2 linked regions of the Xenopus tropicalis genome follow. The protein of the gene in region 2 purifies or fractionates together with the protein of the main gene of each other region. This does not show direct contact. Links are inferred from orthologs where the notes say so. Each region holds a gene or a part of one and is shown on either strand. Other genes may lie near its edges.

The links. Proteins that work in one complex are often made in the same cells at the same time.
Region 1: the proteins of bag2 (region 2) and stub1 purify together in Homo sapiens (affinity purification with mass spectrometry; 7 studies listed by BioGRID and IntAct, with this or other methods). This does not show direct contact. The link is inferred for Xenopus tropicalis from reciprocal best matches to the Homo sapiens genes BAG2 and STUB1.

What each region holds. Positions count from the first base shown.
Region 1 is NC_030685.2:14,826,063-14,829,203, reverse strand, and holds the end of stub1 (E3 ubiquitin-protein ligase CHIP), read right to left. Parts: intron 2,704-3,141; coding exon 2,647-2,703; intron 2,447-2,646; coding exon 2,330-2,446; intron 1,696-2,329; coding exon 1,570-1,695; 3' UTR 516-1,569; downstream 1-515. UniProt on the Homo sapiens protein: E3 ubiquitin-protein ligase which targets misfolded chaperone substrates towards proteasomal degradation.
Region 2 is NC_030681.2:95,349,176-95,352,053, reverse strand, and holds part of bag2 (BAG family molecular chaperone regulator 2), read right to left. Parts: intron 1,465-2,878; coding exon 1,355-1,464; intron 1-1,354. UniProt on the Homo sapiens protein: Co-chaperone for HSP70 and HSC70 chaperone proteins. Acts as a nucleotide-exchange factor (NEF) promoting the release of ADP from the HSP70 and HSC70 proteins thereby triggering client/substrate protein release.

The DNA of each region.
Region 1 (3,141 bases), on a different chromosome or scaffold from region 2:
AGAGTGAATTATTTGCTATGTAAACAGTGTAATTTAGGAATATAAAATATACCATAAAAATCATGACAGTATCCCTTTGAAACAGACTCGGCAGTTTATCTGCCCATGTACGGGGCCCTCCAACAAGCCTCCACAACCACTATCTGGCCAAATATTGGCCAGATGATGTTCGGACAGGCTTTGTCATCGGGTCGGGGACAACATAGGCTCATTAACACACTACGATTTTTCCTTTCCCCTTTATTGCAATGTGAATCGTTTGGCCCTAGGGGAAATATTTGCTCATTTGCCGTCCTTCCCAAAGGAGTAAATTGGTGTATTACAGCCACAAGAATGATTGGCTGGTTTCCTCCCACATTCCAGGAACACACAGGCAGGTGGTTCCTGAGAAAATTCCCAGTGTGTGAGATAGGGACGTTAGATTGTAAACTCCACTGGGATGTGAGTGACATTTAATCTCTGTACAGAGTTATAGGAATAAATGGTAAGGGTGTGAATTGAGCCAGGCACAGCAGTACAGCGTAACTCCTTTAATGTATGCATCTGTACTGACGGAAGGGCTGCCACACTCCTCAATGGCCACATACATATCAGAGACACTAGAACATATTTACATGGACTATGTACAAAGTAAAGCCAAGGAGTTCAAATCCCGGGGTGGATACATTCATTGCTGCAGATGTGCATTTGGTGTAGTTAGGGCTGAGTCAATACAAATCCTTCCATCTGCAGCTTCGGGAACCACAATCTAAAGGTTTTTATGCGTTTCATGCATTGCACTGCCTGCAGCAGTTAGTCGCCATACCGGACAAAGGGCACCGTTTAGCCCGGACTCTTAGTTCACAGCCATTGTATATAATTTGCCATACTAAGCCAACATCCTGCAAAGCCCACACTGAAGGTTCTGCTGTGCTGCTTTTAGTGTCTTGCCAGCAGAGGGTGCTGTTCCACGAATCACAGCTGCTGCAACGCAGCGCAAATGAACCAATGCAGGGCGGGTTGAGGACTTCACAAAAAAGAAAAATTCAACGTTGAACTCCACAGTCAAGCAGCTAAATAAGAACACGCTATATTCGGCTGGCAAAATATTGGCATACAGAAGACATCACGGGCTTGTTCATATACCACTGTAGCCCAGTCTGAGAGTTGTACTAAATACTTCTAGGTGTGAGATGATGGCTGGCAGAGTGCATGCTGTGTCGGCAAACAAGTCATCACCAGAACATAGTTCTTCAGCCCTTAAACCACACAGCTATAAAATACTCTACTGGAAGTGGAAAGGAAATGAACCAGGAAGCCGAAGCAGGCAAGCGTTCCACTCGCTAGAAGGTTACCGCAGTAGTGAATCTGGGAAAAGCACACAAACAAGAGACTGGGAATCCAGGGAGGTCCGGAAGAGTAAGGACCAAAGCAGCAGACTTGGGTTGCTGGACCTAGAAGAGACTACTGGCAGAGGGCTCAGAGACACAGGGGAGGAGAGTAAGGCTTAAGGCTGGACAGGCACAGTCTGTGACACAAGAGGAGTAGGACTCTAATGGCAATGCCAGGCTTCTGCAGTCTTCCCCATGATCAATAGTCCTCCACCCAGCCATTCTCTGATATGAACGCATCAATGACCTCCTTCATGGCCAGGTTGGGGATGAGCTGGTCTTGAGTCAAAGGGCTTCGAGTCACTGGATCAAAGTGGCCGACTCTCTGGTTAAAGAATAAACAAGTGAGACTGGGGCTGGCACACATACATGTCCTGAAAGCTTTGCAAGTGCCTGTATCACTGTGCTGGCAGTTACAGCAGAATGAAACCCCCCCAGTGTATATATGAGCAGCTGATGCTCACTTCCAATAGCTGCACATCTGCCAATTTCAGCTCTTACATGTGCACATAAATATAATTCATCACTATACCATGTTCTGAGATGTCAAATTGTAATATACTGGTCTGGAATTATCTGCCCCACACCCACTGCTAACCCACCCCCATTACCTGCCTCCTCGGAGACACACAGAGACACAACTTGCAGGGCTGGAGTAATCTGTTGGCCCCAACCCATAGGCAGGCCCATGCAATATAAATATCCTTTAATTATTCTATTCTGAATGGACTTTTCCAAGATCTGTCTTAGTGAGATTATTATGAATCCTGAAACAGGGGAGTCACTGTCCCTTCAGAGTTTATCACAATTGGGTTGGGGCCCACGAGGGCCAGGGCCTGCTGGGTTTTTACCCGGTATCCCCACAGAACAATCTGGCCCTGTCCATCTACACCTACATCGTTCCTTCATTCCAACATTTCCCAGCCCTCCCTCCCATACCGCTCCCCATATTACATTACCTGAAGATGCTCCTCGATGTCTTTCCTATCGTACGTGATGCCGCTGGGTGTTATGCAGGGTTCTCTCATAAGCTCAAAGCTGATCTTGCCGCACAGGTAATCTGGGATATCTCTCTTCTGTTAAGAGAAGGACCGGGAGAGCTTAGAATAAAGACAACATCATGGCAGCTCTACACACGGCTTTTCTCATTTCTTATAGCTGCCAAACCCAAGCTGGAAACACGGATATAACGGAATACCGGTAACTCTAGGAGGCTGAAAAGGAAAGCTCTGGGCCCTGTATGAGCTATGACTGCTGTCGAGTATTAAACACTCACCTTTCTCTTTTCATCCACTTGAGAGAAAAGCTCCTCCATCTCAGCAAGATGCTTGTCCTAGAGAGCAACAAAAAAAAAAAACAGTGTTGGCGACTGCAGCTGTACAGTGATAAAGATGTTCCCTTTATCCATAAAGATGTCTTTCCTCACCAGGACCCCTCTCTGTGCAGAGTGTGATTTCTGCTCTGTAGTGTTCCAGGGAGCGGGACTTCAGCTGCTACAGGGGCACTGGCTGATAGGGTAACTCACCTGCCACTCAGAGCACAGATCACAGCTGTACAACATGACAAGGCCTCAGCTGATACAACCAATAAACCAGCATCCCTTATATATATTAAGCGGGGTGTTTTGGCATGGAACTTGGCTCTGATGGGCACAACCCTAAATATGGCCAACGGTATGGGAGTTCTAAGCAACTTTATAACTGGTCTTCGTTATTTATTTGTTATAGTTTTTTAATCATTTGCCTTTTTCTCCAAAATCTTTGCAGTTTTT
Region 2 (2,878 bases):
TATGTGCCCGTGTGGCTTTTACTATATAGGAAAATGTGTTACATCTTTCCCCACACAAATGAACAATCACAGATCAGTGATCCGTGCGGCTTTGGCTACTGGTAAGTCTGATATTCCACTTGCAAGGCACTTTACACAACAGAAACATTCGTTGCCCATGTTAAGGGCTAGTTTGATTGATCATATTCCCCCTTTATTGCGTGGTGGTGATTTCTAAACTACTACTACAAAGGGAGGCTCAATGGATTCGAAGGTTGGATACTATTGCTCCTCGTGGACTCTGACTCTGATATATAGTATATTATTCACTTCTCTAACTTTCCCACAATGGGAGATGGTTTGAGTATTTTGTTTTTCACTATCGGGTTATCCCCGCTCTCTATTGGCCCCCATATTTATGTTGATATTATTGATGATCGTGCTTTTAAAAAAATCATGTGTCAATTTTTGTTACTGATGTAATGTATAAATGTTAACTATATTTATGATGCGTGAGTAGGTGCTCCATAGATGGTGTTATGAGAGAGGGGGGTTTTAACAGTGATTTTTAATCACTTAATTGATATAATACTTACAGACTCTTGGATTGAACATGCTAATTGATTGGGAGCACTGATTAGTTCATGTTATGTGTGCACTTCACTTCCTTTCCCTATCCTGATGACGATCCTGTGGGGGTCGAGACGCGTAGATGCGATGATTGAATAAACGGACTGTTTATATATCTATTGCCGTGAGTGCTTTCTACATATGCACTCTGTATTTTTTGGTTAGCACCCGGCCGATATCTATGGAGTGGTGAGTGCCGATTTTTTGTAGACTATATATAAATTTTTTTTTATTTTTTTTTTGCAATACAAATGGTGTGGTTTGGGTGGGGGAGACATGCCCAACTTATATACATGGTAAATGTCCTTTAAAATACTGAAATTATATAATCTTTCCTCCAACAGATACACCATTTTGCATTTACCAACATTTGTGTTTTTGTCTCAGTAGGTCTTTCTGGGTGTGTTAACCTTGGGGTGGGAAAGGGAACAGATGGCCAGTCACTCTTATCTGTAACCGAGGTATGTGACAGGAGAGATGGAAGAACTTAAGGCGTATCTTCCATTTGAGTGAGGCCCACTGTTCCTGTCAATCTCTCCCCCTCCAGATTCAGGGTTAACAGCTCTAAGGCACAAGCATCTGCTATAGTTAATCCTTAGAGGCACATTTATCAACATTCAGATTTTAGTGTTTTTTTGAAACCACAAATAAAATGATATCCACTAAAACCTGCAATGTTGAGTCATTTATTAAAAAAATGGTAAGAATCATGGATTCGTTATCTATAGAGATGAGTAGGCCTTACCATCACTGATCGTCCTTATGTCATGACTGTTCTGCACGCTGTGAATCTTTTCTATCAGAGACTCCCTCTCCAGCTCTAGGGCAGAGGCTGCATCACGAAAGGCTTGGACCCTGCAAGAGTGGGAAAACTACATAATGTCACTATTCCTTTGCACTATTCATTCAGCAGAATCTGTTTCTCGCCATCATATTTGAAACCTACAAAAGCTTTGCCATAAAATTTTTATTTAATATGATGTTCAGGTATGGGACCTGTTATTTAGAATGTTTGGGGCCTCGAGTTTTCTGGATAAGTGATCTTATCGTAATTTGGATCTTCATACCATAAGTCTGTTAAAAAAATAAATGTAAACATTAAATAAACTCAATAAAAGTGTTTTGCCACCAATAAGGATTCATTATATTTTAGTTGGGATCAAGTACAAGGTACTATTTTATTATTACAGAGTAAAAGGAAATTATTTTATTAAAATAATTTTGAATTATTTGATTAAAATGGGGTCTATGGGAGATGGCCTTCCTTTAATTTGGTGATACTGGTGTATCCCATACCTGTGTAATCTCTGCAGAAAATGATCTCCATGGACCTTTAGCTATCTGAAAATAGCCTACTTTCCCTTGTCAGCACGTTACTGCTTTCTGTACACAACCCAGCATTCTGCTAAAGTTCCATTGGAAACATGTCAAAAGCAACAAAGAACTGGCAATGATATTTACACTCAAGCAACAGATAAATTGGGACAACCTCCCATGGGCTCCAGCATGTAACAGTTAGTGGGACCCGTTTATCAACACTGGTCAAACTTATCCCTGGCAGTTACCCGTGGCAACTTTTATTATTCTACTTGCAGCTGTCTGAAAAAAGCTACTCACTGATTGGCTGCTATAAATTCCTGCCCAGGTGTAAATTTACCCAGAGTTGATAAATGAGGACCACAGTAGGTCTGTGGCTGGAAAGCCTACAGCTTTATTAATTTGGCTGATATATCAGACGGTGATGTGCCTATATGTGCAACTGGGCAGTTTTGGTGAGCGTGTATGGAGCTGCTCTGGGGAGCCAAGAGAAGTAGCGTTCCCATAATAATAATGGGTTAGTTATTTTTGTTTTTGCTTATGCTGCAGTAAGGGGAATGAAAAGAACAGACATCCAGCGTGCCAAGGAGGAGGCCCCAAATACCTATCGACCCTTTATGTGGCCAAAAATAACCAGGAGTAGAAAAACAAAGACAGATAATGTCTTAAAAAAATCTCAGTCTATTAAAAATTGAGTATTTTCCAGATGCTTGTTTGAATTTTTGTTTCCTTTGAACATGTGACTAAAAGGATCTTTGGGCATTAATGTGGATTTCAGAAAAATTAACCATTACTCACGCATTCCACTTTGTGGCTTGTGGCATAGGGAACACTTTAAAGCTTTTTTCTTTTTGGTAATTATCTTAAACTGAACATCTATTATTCCAAAAAGCTGAGGGATGATGCAGAAGGAATATATTCTCCCAAACCATTCGTCATACTGCAGAGTAAG